Oryctolagus cuniculus: one gene and its partner. The protein of the gene in region 2 interacts with the protein of the main gene of each other region in a pairwise test. Links are inferred from orthologs where the notes say so. Each region holds a gene or a part of one and is shown on either strand. Other genes may lie near its edges.

Region 1 (6,049 bases), on a different chromosome or scaffold from region 2:
CTGGCCTGCTCCTGGGGAACGCATTCCTGCAACTGCCTGGCCCACCAGTGAAGTGGCTCACGAGGGCAAGGACTGCTTCTCGCTGCTTTTTTTCTTCTTTCCTCATCAGAGCTGATGAAGCACGGGCCAAGGCCAGCTGAATTACAGGGTGCTGCTGCATTCTGAATTCACAAATGGCGAAGAGAAATTTCTAGAAGGGAATCAAGTGCCTTTTGGCAGAAGCATGCAGGGTGAGAAGACAGAGTCTGTGTGGTGTAGCCTGGAAGGAAAGCTCTGGGAAAGTCTGTATCCCCTGAGGGTTGAGGAAGCCAGAGCTGCTGGCTGCAACGCTGTCGCTGTCGGGAGAGCCGCGTTGACATAGACACCCTCTCCCTCCTGTGTGCACCGACGGGGACTCTCCCTCTGTCCGAGTCGCTGCTTCTCACAGTGCGGGCCCCCAAGCCAGCAGCATCAGCGTCATGCAGGGCCCTGCTAGAAATTCAAATTCCCGAACCCTCAGCCTGGACCTACTGCATCAGAAACTCCGCCAAGGCCAGGCCCAGCAATCCGCGCTGTGACCAGCCCTAGCAGGATTCTGGTCACACTTACGTATAAAGCATCCTTTCTCAGTCTACCGAAACACATGGGAAAAAGACCTCAGAAATGCAATCCAGACTGATTTGAGATCGAGATTAAAGGAAAACCCGAGACAACGCCCCTTGCTATAAAACACCCAGGATCAATGAAACTTCCCACTATTTTCCATGAATCGTTTCAACAGGCAATTAAATGAACTCAGCACATTTCTTTTAAATGTGCAAAATGAATTTTCATATTCTAAGAGTCACACCAGATGTTTTACCTTTTTTTCCCCCCCTAATTGATTTTCCAGCCTAGAGCAACTTGGTTTTTTTGTTTTCCACTTGGGCCCTAACACAGCAAGAAGAGTATGTTCCGCAGGGTTTTTAAATGGCACGCAGTTAAAACAGGCCCCACCAGGCTGCTCTACTTCTTCCGGGTGGTTGTCTCCCCAAAATATAAAAGCAGAACTCTTTAGGTAGCAGGCAGATGGGACAGGCGGGAAACCCAGAAAGGCCCTCTGGGGGTGGGGGTGGGGGGGCAAGTCTCCAGGCTCTTGGCTGCTTGCAGAGCCGAGTGCTGGGCACTCAGCCCAGGCCTGAGCACTCCCCTACCCATCCCTGCACTCCCTGGTACCAAAGGATTTGCTGGCTGTAAAAACTTGCAAATAAACATTGTCTTTCAATGGGAAGTTTTGTTTTAAAGTAGGTTATGGGATGGAGGTGAGTGGAGCCATGGGCCGAGGAAGGAGTGGCTCCTGGAGGAGTCCAAACAATCCCCCTCTGTTGGCCCTGCACCCACCCAGTGGAGCAGGCCTGTTTCAGCCTGTGTTAAGTGGGTGAAAGGTCACCACCAACAACCAGGTTTTCTTCACTCAACAAAAGCTCTTGGAAATCGCAGGGGAGAGGGGAAACGAGCCTCAGCCTTGAAGCAAACAACTTCAAGAGGGACCTCCACTGCCTTGGCCCTGGGTGTGGGAGAGGAGAGGGTGGCAACAGAGCGCGGAGACGTGGAAAATGCCGATTCAGACAGAGCCACGCTTGGGAGGCAGGTGGGGGAGGCTGGCACCACCTTCCTCTGCGCCGGCAGGTTTGAGTCCTCCCGCCTGCAGCGGGATTTTCGTGTGGTCTCCAAGAACAAATCGGCCTGTCTGGTTCGGAGAACCACTGCAGCAAGGCTCAGGGTCTGAAATTAGAGCTCATCCTAATTGGTTCCCAAAGCGGAGCTGCTCCAACTTGAAATAACTCCCACCGCCCACCACCACCACCACATCCAGCCCTCTGTCTGCAACCGGCCCTTCTCAGAGAAGGGCAGGCTCTCATTGTGGCACCTTCCCAGGGAAGTTCCATCGGAAGAGAACCCTCCCCAGGAGAGCCCCTGGAGCTCCAGCCCCAGGCAGAGCAACCTGCCACTGTACAGGGTGGTGTGCAGACCTGGAGGATGGGAAGGAGCCCAGGCAACCAGCCCCAGAAATGTTACCTAAACTGAAAACACGCAAGTGACAGCTTCTCAAGTCTAAAAGAAGCCAAGTCCACAATAGTCACAGTGGTTTTAAGACAGAGACAAAACCAAGACCTTTGGCCTCGCCTAATCAGGCTGAAGTTTTTGCTCTGGGCCATGAGTGAGCGGCTTGTCTTCCTCTGGGGTTGTGACAGCCAACAACCTGGTCTCCCTTGATGACCCAACCCGCAGAGCCCCCCAGACCTTCGCCCTCCGCTATGACAGTCACTGCCCAGAAAGGGTCTCTCCCCTTGTCCCACGTGCACAAGGATACCTTACTACAGAGCATTAAACCACAAGAGCCATTTTATAAATGTCATCATCATAGTCTTTTAATATTTTACATAAAAAACTGTATACACAGCTTATAGAACTTTTATGTAAACATCATAAGCTCACCACTTTGTCATTTGTCAGTTTATTGGAAAAATAAAAAAACAAGACAACAGTTTAGTAGAAGTACCACTGGGCAGGAAGAGGGAGGGGAGAAACGGGCAGGTTTATTCTCTGTACAGAGAAGCAGAGAAAACTTCACATAGCTGCAGAGGCTGCCTTGCAGGGAAAACAAAAAAGTTCTCAATAGGCCCCAACACGGGTTACTGTCCCTTATCAAAACAGTGTGCATGACCTGCACAAATAAAATCTCAAAACAGTGGTGCCACTTTTCTCGAGAAAACCAAGGAAAAATTAGTAAATTCTTTTTCTTTTCCTTGTTTTCAAAATCATCATTCAAAAAAAATAAATCCAAAGTAGATGAGGTTACAGCATACAGAATGCTACTGCCTTATGCAAATGACAAGTGCATTAAGTGTCAAACAATGAAACAACTGTGCAAAGAATTCTTTCCAAAAAAAAAAAAAGTTTCAGCTTTTAAATAAATCAAAAAAACATCCGTTTCTTGGACTGAACAGTTTTCACTTGTCAGGCACAGAGTTCGCTTATGGCAACAACAAGGCCCCCAGCACACGCCCCGCCCCTCCTCCTGCTGGAGAGAGGTTCGCTGGGGGCTGGCAGCACCTGCTGCTTCTAAAAGCTGTGTCCCTTCAGCCCCAAGTCAGTTGCAAATGTCTTCCCCAGGGCTCAGAAAGATGGCCAAGTCCTGGTCATGCTTGGATGGGCGCCTGACCCAGCCCGGGGCCAGAGCTGTTCTAACGCCCTGGTCACTCCACCCACCACGACCATTAAATAACACCATCTTACCTCCGAAAATAAAATTATATCTGTATTTATAGAACACCCCCCTCCTCCTCCCCAGCCCTCCCTCCCGCAATTCCCGGGGTCTATGTTACAAACAAGGGATAGCAGGCGCTCGCGGGTTACGGGCTAACATCCGATGGGGCGCGGCCCCGGCCCCCACCCCCACCCCGGGGGGACCCGAGGCGGGGGTGGTGTGACAATGTGAGCGAGGGGGCAGTAGAACGTACACGCAGTCACACGCTCTGAGGCTCTGATCCTCAGAACAGGATGTCCAGGGGACCCTTGGCACTCAGCGGGGGCGCCCGGGCCTGTGCCACACAGCTGGACGCACGCAGACACTGGGAAGGGGGCGCCCGGTGCCCACGCGCTTCTCGGCGCGAGAGCCAGAGCCGCCCGCAGACGCCAGGCAGTCTGGTGGGGTCCTTGCAGGGGCGTGGGCCTCCCCTCCCCACGGCTGGCTGGGGGACCGGCCCGGGAGGGGGCGCCGCGCAGGCGGGGGCAGACGGGCGGGCGCGGCCTCTCATAGCACCTTGCAGCAGTTGATGCAGCCGTTCTGCGAGCCGTAGCGCTTCTGGAGCGCGGCGCGCGTGGCCGTCTCGAAGACCTCGCGCACGCCCTCCTTGGTCTTGGCGGAGCACTCGAGGTAGTCGTAGGCTTGGATGCGCACGGCCATGGCGCGGCCGTCGTCCGTGCGCACGGGCTCCTGCTTCATGCGCGCCAGCTCTGTGCGGACGTGCTCGTCGCTGCGCAGGTCCTTCTTGTTGGCCACCAGGATGATGGGCACGTTGGGGCAAAAGTGTTTCACCTCCGGCACCCACTTCTCGGGGATGTTCTCCAGCGAGTCCGGGCTGTCCACCGAGAAGCACATGAGGATGACGTCGGTGTCCGGGTAGGAGAGCGGCCGCAGGCGGTCGTAGTCCTCCTGGCCCGCTGTGTCCCACAGCGCCAGCTCCACCTGCTTGCCGTCCACCTCGATGTCGGCCACATAGTTCTCGAAGACGGTGGGCACGTACACCTCGGGGAACTCGTCCTTGCTGAACACGATCAGCAGGCACGTCTTGCCGCACGCGCCGTCGCCCACCACCACCAGCTTCTTGCGGATGGCCGCCATGAGCCGGCCGGGCCCGGGCAGCAGGAGGGGGCCCGCGAGCGCCTCGCTGCCGTCCCGCTCGCTTCGCTCACTGCTCACCTCCGGCGGCGCGCTGGGGGGCGAGGGTCGCTAGCTGCACCCAGGCCCCGCGGTGGCGCGTTCTCTCCGGGCGCTCAGGCTGCCGCGGCGGGGGCGCGGGTGCATAGGGCGCGCCGCGCTGCTCGCGGACTGCGGCCGCGGCTCACGCCCCGGGCCGGGGTCGGCGGCTTTGTGCGCCACAAGGGCTCGGGCTGCGGTCGGTCCCGCTCCCCCTCCCGGGTCCCGGGCCGCGCGTACCAGGGCGCCGACGACTCCAGCCAGACTGCGGTGGCAGATGCGGGCTGCGGCCCTAGCGCCTGCTATTTAAAGAGTCCGGCCACTTTCTTAATATAGCCGCCCAATAGGAAGCGAGCCGGCTGAGCTCATCGCTGCGGAGCTTGGCTCTGATTGGCCGCCTGCTGCAGCCCGAAGGCGGGGCCGCACGGGCTTGATTGACGGCCCTGGCCGCGGGGCTGGGAGAGGCGGCGACCGTGGAGTCTGCGCGGCCGCCGGCGCTGCGGGGCCGCGGCGGCCCCGGCTCCCCGCCTTCGTCGTGGCCCGAGGGCTGGCTGCCTAGAGCCCGCGGGGTCTGGGCCCGCGGGTTCCGAGACGGGGCGGCACTTTGGAGTGGGGGGTCGGCGCCTCCTTTTAGAGCAGAATCGCGGGGCTTTCTGGCCAACCCCCCGCGGGTGGTCGGACCTGGGGCGGGGGAGGGGCGGCTCCCGTAACGTGGTTTTGTTTGTAAGTAAACAACCACACACACACGCACACGCACGGCCACACACGCACTTTTGTTTCCAAACTGAAAGGTTTCTTCTTCGCCCTTTTGGAGCCGGCCGCTCTGTGCTCGGGCCTCCCGGGGCGCCCTTGCCCTGGGATTGAGCCCCTGGCGTGAGGCGCCCACTGCAACCTGGGTGGGCCTGGGCCGAGCCTCCCGGCCCTTGCAAGCCCCTGCCCTCCTCTTTCAGGACCCCCCAGCTCGGGTCGCCGGGCGAAGGTGAGGGAAAGGAGACCGAGTGGGCGAGCGCTGGTTCGATGAATGGGAAGGGGCAGGCCGGGGTATTTGGCCGAAACTCTGCGTGGTTCTTTCGGATCCGTTTGTTAAGGCAGAGCCGTGTCCGAACGAAGAGTGCAATAGAATCTGGCCCCCTAAACCCCACTGAGCCGGCGAACGGTGGGGCAGGGGCCCAGGGCTCGCAGGTGCGAGTGAGCGCGCGCTGGGGGTCCATCGCCCCAAACCAGCAGGGCTGCAGGCAGCTGCCCCGGGGACCCTGCGGGACGTGGCCCTCACCTCTGGTCTGGAAACCCGAAGGGAGACCTGCCCATCACGGCGAGCTCACTGCCCCATTGTCTGTCTGCCTCTGGATTGTGGTTTGGTGGGGGCGCCAGCGTCCTCCGGACCCAGCCAGCAGGTGACTGGAGGATCGACCCGCTTGTTCAGGAGCTCAGTGGGGATTTTCTGGGGGGCTCTTACCTCAGCTCCAGATCCACTCTAACAGTCACCCAGGCGAACCCACGCAGGCAGCTGAGAGGGAGCCTGTGGTTTCAGTGCCACTCACAGGTCAACCTAGTGGCTGTTACCCTCTAGGGCCCATCCTGGCCCGCATCGGTTGAACCATCAGAAGG
Region 2 (8,079 bases):
TTCCAGGATCTTGTCTTTTGGTTCCGAGTCTTTGTCTTTCACTTCCGGGATCTTGTCTTTTTGTTCCGAGTCTTTGTCTTTCACTTCCTGGGCCTTGTCTTTTGGTTCCGCATCTTTGTCTTTCATTTCCAAGATCTTGTCTTTTTGTTCCGAGTCTTTATCTTTCACTTCTGGGGCCTTGCTCTTCTGTTCTGGGGACACATCCTTCTGGTCTATGTCTTTGCCTTTTTGTTCTAAAGCCTTACCCTGCTGCTCCACAGCCTCGTCCCCTGCTCTCAGAGCCTCATCTTTCTGACAGATGGCTGTGCCCTGCTCTACAGCAGTATCCTTCTGTTGCAGGGTTTTGTCCTTCTGCTGTACAACTTCATCCTTTTGTTCGGGTTCCCTGTCCTTCTCCTCGGGGGTTCCATCTTTCAACCGTGGAACTTTCCCTTCCCACTCCATGACAATGTCCTCCATGGCAGGGCTTGGCAGAGACTCTGGACTCTTGGTGATGGAGCTATCAGGTGTCATAATATGTTCGCCAGGGCTTGTGACCACGCCAGGTGAGTGCTTCTCCTCACCTGACAGTGTAGGATGAGAGAAGGAGCTGGCAGGTGATCTTCTATCAGGGCTCTCATACATGATGTCTCCCTGTGTGGAGTAGCCAGTGGTCTCATCTCTGGGAGGTGACAATGTGGCTGCATGAGGCTCTGGGAGAGAAACAGGAGCCGGGTGGTGAGCAGTGTCTTCAGCCTGCATCAGAGGCCCCCTTTCCTCCTTTCCAAGACTTAGTTCCCCAAACTGGAGGGTTCCGAGGCTTTCTGGGGAGAGCTGCTTAGAAGAGATATCCAGAGAGGTCTCCTTGCTGGGACTCTCCTCGGAAAGAGAAAGTGACTGGGTGTCTTGTGGAGAAGCCGCTGGCCAAAAGTCTCTGTGTAGGCCAGAGGGAGACCTGGGAGTGGGCTCTTGGTTGGCAGTGTCTGGGGAGACCACACTGAGGACAGAGAGGGACTCTGCATCTTCAGGAGAGAGGCTCTGGCCAGGAAATTGGGGTACCTCCTCCTTCTGAGGTTCACCAGGTTCTTGAAGCGACGGCTTCAAATCTCTGGGAAGGGTTTCTGTTGCTAGAACTGGGCCTGTGGGCTCTCCTGCCTCTGTGGTCTCGAAGACTATTGCTCCATCCTGTACTGGCAACAATGGACTGGTGCGGCCTGCATGTCCCCCTGGAATATCGACAGGTGCCATCTGGGCCTGGGGGCTCCTGGGAACAGGCCTCTCCCCCTGCTTCTCTAGGGTGCCCTCTTCAGGCCCTGGCCTGACTGTCTCCTTTGCAGCATCTTCCGTGTCCATACCGGGTGTGTGTTTTGTGCCTCCCCAGGAGTCTTCTTCCTGAAAGTCTTGGGGCTCCGACTTTTCTTCCACGGGGGACTGATGAAAGGGTGTGTGGGTAGCACTGGGTGGGCCGGATGGTGGCGGAGAGGCCATCTTCACTGTGCTGTCATCCGGACTGAGGCACCGCTCCTCCACCTCTCCCTGGGCTGGTTCCCCTGGATGTAGGGCATGCCCAGGGGCCCCAAACATCGGGGAGCCATACTGCTGGTGAAGTTTCTCAGACACCTCTGCGTTTGCTGGCTCCTCTTCTTCCTCTCCCACAGCTCTCTCCCCAGGCAATGCTCTCCCCACCCCCTCTCCTCTCTTCTCCGACTCCCCAGCCACAGAGAATTCCTCACAGGGTGGTGATTTGAAGCCTTTGTCTTCCTCCAGCGAGGAGGTGGGTGAGATGGTGCCAGCCGACGGCACGTAGTCTAAGCCCTGGGTGGCCTCGGTGCGGGAGGAGGGGATACTCGTGACCGTGTCGAGCAGCAGGGAGCTTTTGCCTGTCTCCTCCGTCTGAGGAGCTGTGAGCGAGGCCACAGACTGGTCCTCAGCCACTGACGTGGCAAAGGAAGAGAGCTTGTCACACTCCGTGATTGAGGTGGCCGAGGACACGTGTTCCTCTTCAGCCAGTGGCGCGGCCACCAGGTTGGTGGGGTAGGGGAGTTCAGTCTCCGGCGCCCCATAGCCTTTGCTGGAGGTGACAGGAACAGCACTGTCTGCAGGCTGGCCGGCTTCAAAGGGGCCAGCACCTTCAGGCCCAGGGAGGTCAAAGGTACTTGGAGGGAATCTGGGTGGAGCCGGGCGCTCCTCGGGCTCGTCGTGGATCTCCTCATCGGAGATGGTCTGCTCCGTCTCCGAGTAGCCAGGGATCGTCTCATCCTGGATGTAGGAGACATGTTCAGTGGCTCCCGCAGGGGTGGCCAGGCTGCTTAGGAATGATGCGGTCTCCTTCTCGGGGACCTTAGCCTGGGGCCCCAGTTCCCGGCCCTCGAGAGCCTCTCTGTCCCTGGCAGTCACCTTGAAGGCTTCCTGCATATGCTTTTGGTACAGACCCTCAGCCTTCGTCTCCTCCTCCTCCTCCTCGTCTGACGGCCGTGCCTCCTCCATTTCTTCTACCTCGGCTTTCTCGATCACGTCCTCCTTCAGCTCGGGCTCACTCTCCTCTCTGGCTTCTGGTCTGTCTGGGAGTCTCTCTGCTTCCTGCTGCTGCTTCTCCTCACAGGTTTCTTTCTCTTCCTCTGTCTCTGCCCCAGAGTCCGGGCCTTGGTCCTTGCTGCCTTGTTCCCCAGGGATTTCTGGGGCAGCTTCCTTTTCTATCGCACGCTCTTCTGGTTCCCACCCAGGGACAGAGGGCTGTGTTCCCTGGGGAGCCAGGCTGGGGGGTCCCTCCTGTGTAGAATCTATAGGCAGTGGTTTCTCTCCTAGTCCTGTGTCCCTCTGTTCGGCCAGCAAAGCCCTCTCCTCCCTTTTCAGGTCCTCAAAGTCCTGGGTGAGGTCCTCTGGTGAGGACAAGGCCAGCTCCCGGTGCCCGGCGACTGATGGGAGTGGCGCAGCCGCCTTCTGGGCCGGGGGCGTCCGGGGCTCAGAAGGCGGCTCCTTCTCCCCACGGGCAGCCCGGCTCTTGTCCAGCTTCACTCTTGCAGGGGCCTTGGCTTTGAAGAGGGTCTTCCGTACCTCGGGGGTGAAGGGCTTCAGGTCTGGCTTGGAAATCTTCTTGGCCTCGGGTTTGGTGTCTTTCCTCTTCTCCTCCTTCCTTCCTTCATCCTTCTTGAGCTCCTTCCTCTCCTTCTTGATCTCTTTTTTCTCCTTGTCCTTTTTCTCGTCCAGCTTCGAAATCTTCTCTTTGAGGTGCTTCTTCCCGACCTTGTCCTTGATCAGCTTCCGCTTCTCCGCCTTCAGAGCCTCGCTGGACTCCGTCTTCACCCTCTCAGGCTTGGCAGGCTTCTCTGGGGGCTTCTCGGTGGGCTCTTTGGCCTTCTTCTCAGTCTTGGCTACCTCTTTGGCCATCTCCGAGCGGGCCTCCTTGGCTCCCTCTTCTACCACCTCCTCCCGCTTGGCCAGCTTGCTCACGGCTGTTTTGGTGGCGGCTTTGAGGCTCTCCTTGCTGTCTGCCCGCTGTTTGATTTTGCTGGGTTTCAGGTTGGCAGGCACAGCCCCAGAGGCCAGGTCCTTCTGGGTGGCCACAGGGTAGCGCAGGAAGTCCAGATGCCGGAGCTTTTCCAGGCCCTCCAGGATCTTGTTCTGGGGAGCGTTGCCTGGAAAAAGCACTCGCACGATCTTCTCGGTGGGGTTGGCTGGTAGCCAGACCACCAGAGCCGTGATGGAGGTCAGGTAGGGCACCGAGATCTCAGCCTCCTTCCCGTTGGCCAGCACGATGCCCGTCTTGGCTTTGCTGTTGCCTGCCCACTTTTGCATGAGGAACTGCATCTCCTTGCTGTCCTTAACGGGGTTGAGGACATACATGTCCAGCCGGCCCACGCCCATTTTGTGGAAGAGGGTCAGAGGCTCGATGGTGTTGCTGACCACACGGTACAGAGGCTCGGCCTGGATGCCCAGGCGGTGTAGGTGCTGCAGTGTGAGGCAGGCCTCCTCGATGCTGCGCTTGGCCTTGCGGGAGGCATCCGGCAGCCGCAGCTTATCGGGCACGTTGAAGAAGACGACGCCGAGCTCGGGCGAGATGAGGTTCTTCACCCAGTCGCTGTAGCTGCTCGAGCCCTGCGACTGCTCCTCCTCCAGCTCTGCCACTTTGCGCTGCAGGAGGCCATTGATGCCCGGCAGGTTGTCTGCCCCGATGTGGGTGAGTAGCACCGAGTCGATTCGGTCCAGGTGCCGCACCAGCTTCCAGAAGCAGGACTTGCGATCGGAGCCCCCGTCCACCAGGATGTTGAACCCATTGACAGCGAAGAGGGCTGAGTCCCCGCGGCCACCAGGGAAGATGTAGCAGCAAGGCTTGGAGAGCTTGAGGAAGCCCCCTGAGGTGGGGGGCTCTAGCAGGTCGAAAGGGGACGGCACGTCCACGGTCTCAGAGACGTACTCAGAGAACTCAGCCACGCCGTCCATGGCGGGCAGCCTGGGCTCAGGGTTGAGCCGGAGGTGCAGGGTCTCTTGGGAACTGGATAGTCCCAGATGGCTCCAATCACCCTCCCCTAAGCAGGACACGGTGAGGCAGGCCTGGATCCCAGGGTCTCTATTGCTGAGCAACTGAGCAATCTGGAGGAATGGAGACAGAAGCCTGATCAGGTCACTGGGTTGTCAGCCTGACTCCGACTCGGTCCCTGATCTTCACCTTTCTCCAGGGGCCCCTGACGATCAAGCAGAATGAGACCCACCCTTCCTTGGGTCCCTCCCCACAGCTCGGGGCCTGCCCCACAGCCGCTTCCCCATAGACACTTGGGTGTGGAGCTTACCTCCGGGTTATGTAGGACCTGGGCGAAGTCTTGGTAGGAGTAGGTGCCGCTCTGCAGGATGAGGTCTCCCCCAGGCTCTAAGCTTTGCCCACTCAAGATCAGTAGCTTGTGAGCCGATGGGCTGCTGAGAAAATGGCGAACCTGGGTGGAAGGAGGGACACGAATGGTCACAGATGTGCGGAACCCAGGAAAACACATTGAATTTGCCTGGTCCCGTGCTCAGTCCTGCCTGGACATGTTTGCCAGCAGTGTCCCCTGTAACACCTCCATGGAAGCCAGGCGTCGGAAGTCAGCTCAGATGGCAGAGGGAGGAACTCTTGGCCTTGAAGTGAGCACAGGCAAGGGCGGCTCACAGCCCCGGTGGTGGCCCCTTGGCAAGGCACAGGCCCTGGGCTCACCTCAGAGCTGATGCTGTCTGCGCTGGGGTTCACCAGGATCACAGTCTCTAGGATCTCACTCTGGTGGCAGAGGGTCCTCTGGCCTGAGGGAGAGAGAGGAAGAAATGTGAAGAGAGCAGCCGGAGACTAAAAGGCAGAGGCATCTGTTGTGTGGGGCAGGAAAGAAAATGGGGCTGAGGGGAAGGAAGGCCCTGGCCACCCTCAGATCCTGCTGCCTGGGACACTGCTGAGTGAGGTGCGGGCGCCGGGCCCTCCAGCCCTTCCCTTTCTGGGTTCCCCGGTCCCACACTGGCTGTCGTCTCTCCCCTTTCATTGGCCGCAGCCTCTGCTGCCCATGCCCCCATCCCTTCGCCTGGAACGCCCCCCTCAGACTGCCCTGTTGACAAGAAGCCTTTGTCCCTCCAGAGCCCTGAGTTCCTGGTGCTGCCTGGGGATGGGCAGCTCAGCTGGAGAGAGGGCTCCTGGGAGATGTGCCTCGCTCAGCTCCCTCCTGCCCGGCCTCTGCCCTGGGCTTCCTGGCTGCAAGAACATCTGAAAACCAGGAGCTGGGAACCTCGGCGTCTGCAGACTACACATCCTCCTCGCCAATCCCCCGCTCAAGGCCAGAACTCCTGTTCCAGAGGATTCAGAGACGCCTGTGTTATCTAAGTCCTTGGGGGTTAGCAGTCCAAAGAGTGGACACAGCACTGTAACTTCCTGCTGTGGTCTCTGGTTCCTCCGAGGCCCAGTCTGCACTCACACGCGCGCAGTCACTCTGTTCCCAGCTCCCTGTCCCACCGCTCCCCCACGTCCCCAGGCTTACTACCCTACAATCCCTCCCGGACTAACAGTTTCTCTTCTCACCTATGTACCTTCTACCGTGGAGATGGAGAGTGAGGTGTTCACAACAAGAAACAGGTAAATAAGGAAGGAGAGGTTCAGAGTTTCCCCCAATCTGTGCAAAAAGACTCCCTAAATCCCCTCTCTGCTTCCTTCTCCAGACCCACATGAAACACCAAGCAACTTAGCACAAAAGCAGGTCAGACAGAAGAGTGGGAAGAAGGATGCGGCCAGCCCCTGCTCCTGCCCTTCCTCCCCCTCCCCCAGCCACCACCTGCACAACAGCAGTCCCATAGGTGGCCCAGGGAGGGGGCTCTCTGGAGGATCCTGGTGGGAGGGCTCATCATCTGTGCCCTAGACCGTCTTTCTGTGACCCCGCTCTCTGCTCTCTCTTCTCTCCGGGGGCTGTTACACGGGGGGGAAGAGCCACCGTGCCAGCATCAGGCAGAACTGGCAGCACAGGGCTGCAGACGCAGCTGCGGGGGAAATGAACTGTGGCCGGTGTCAGACGCCCAACTCTGTACCGGGGTGAGCTGGGCCTCAGAGGAGCTTAGGGGTTCGCTCTCATCTAATAACTAGGAAACGGAGGGAACCTCCGGGGTCAGTGCAGAGGACGAGAACTCCTCAGAGGCATGCAGGGGCGGGGCTTGGGCAGGTAAGGGACACCAAGGTCCTGGCAGCCGCCAGCACAAAATGGTTCAGATTTAGAAGGGCAGAAGCTCCCCCTTCACAAACAAGGTCACACATTTGAGCTAGGAAAGTTCCAAGGAATATCTACAGTACACACCGACTTGGTTCCTGACACCCGCTTCTCCCCCCAGCCCGGCTTTATAATCACAGACTTCAGACTTCTCTGAGCCCAGCTCACATCCCAACATCAGACCCCATCCCCAGCCCTGTGCTAGGGAGTGGTTCTGACTTGCAGCTACATGGTTTATATCTTTTGCAGGCCTGGGAGAAAGCCCTGTTTCTCTCTCCGGCTCCCCTAGCCTGCCCAGTAAAGGGAACTGCCTGAGTTTTCCATTTTCCAGGGAAAGGGGCAGGGGCGCGGGGCTGGGCAGGCCCAGGGAGGGCAGGTGTCTCCGCAGTGAGGCGGTGGGGGTTGGGGGGGCCGGCAGCTGCAGTTTGCCGCAGTGTGTGAGTGTGTGTGAGTGTGCGCGCTGAGCTCGGCGCCGGCTCCGCCCCCACCCCCACCCCAGCATGACAAGTCATTTTCTTGGCTGCCTCTGTGAGGGGGGTGGCGGTGGGGGTAGGGGGTTTTGCCGAGAAGGAGAAGAAACTGGCTTCTCTGTTCTAGAGCCCCCATCTTGCGAAAAGAATGGAGAGGAGGTGGGGGTGGGGTTGAGGCTGGGAACCTGTGGGGTTGACAGCGCAGGGAATGCGGGGCAGCTGCTGGCTGGGAGCGTTCCCAATCTCCGGAGGGACCTCAGGGGGCCAGGAAGGGGGGCTTAGAGCCCCAGGCTCAAGCTGCCTGCAGAAAACTGGTTGGGGAAACCCACTGAGAACAGGCTGGTCTGTGAGGACGCACATGCCACGTCTGAACGACCCTTTTCCACAGTGTCCCCTAGCTTCCCTTACTTGGCAAAAACTGGCGGCAGCCGGCTCACCCCCCAGCCTAGGAGCAGCTGAGCAGTCTGAAACCCACACCCAAGGACCCTCCCGCCAGGCGCGTTCCCTTAACATCTCCCTTTCTCTCGGATTCTCCAGCCTCTGGCCAAAGACATCGCCTCCAAACTCCTCTGGCGCCCGGGGCCACCAGGCAGAGCCTGCAGCACCACCCTCTGCAGCCGCCCTGGGCTGCAGTCTCCCACCCCCAGCCAGCTGGGAAGTGAACTGTCACAGCCCCCGCTGGCCTCCACCTGGATCCAAATCCCGGCTGGCCCCTCCGCCAGCACGGTCCCTCTTCCCTCCTGCTCCCTCCAAGCCTGCCCACGCCACTGGACTGCTTCCAGAGGCCCCAGAAGAGGCATCAGCTCCCCCCCCCCATTACCCTCATCCCACCTCCCCAGGCAGGCTGAGCCCCTAGGTTCGGGTCTTACCCTGCGGCGTGGGAGAGAGCCCCTCATGGAGGCGGCGGCTCCGGCCTCAGCCGGCAG

Evidence for each region. The genes of interacting proteins can lie anywhere in the genome.
Region 1: the proteins of MAP1A (region 2) and RHOB interact in a two-hybrid assay, tested with the Homo sapiens proteins (2 studies listed by BioGRID and IntAct). The link is inferred for Oryctolagus cuniculus from reciprocal best matches to the Homo sapiens genes MAP1A and RHOB.

Annotation. Positions count from the first base shown.
Region 1 is NC_091433.1:182,131,850-182,137,898, forward strand, and holds RHOB (rho-related GTP-binding protein RhoB), read right to left. Parts: upstream 4,735-6,049; 5' UTR 4,367-4,734; coding exon 3,776-4,366; 3' UTR 2,364-3,775; downstream 1-2,363. UniProt on the Homo sapiens protein: Mediates apoptosis in neoplastically transformed cells after DNA damage. Not essential for development but affects cell adhesion and growth factor signaling in transformed cells. Plays a negative role in tumorigenesis as deletion causes tumor formation.
Region 2 is NC_091443.1:66,493,724-66,501,802, reverse strand, and holds the start of MAP1A (microtubule-associated protein 1A), read right to left. Parts: upstream 4,420-8,079; coding exon 225-4,419; coding exon of another isoform or gene 78-224; coding exon 1-77. UniProt on the Homo sapiens protein: Structural protein involved in the filamentous cross-bridging between microtubules and other skeletal elements.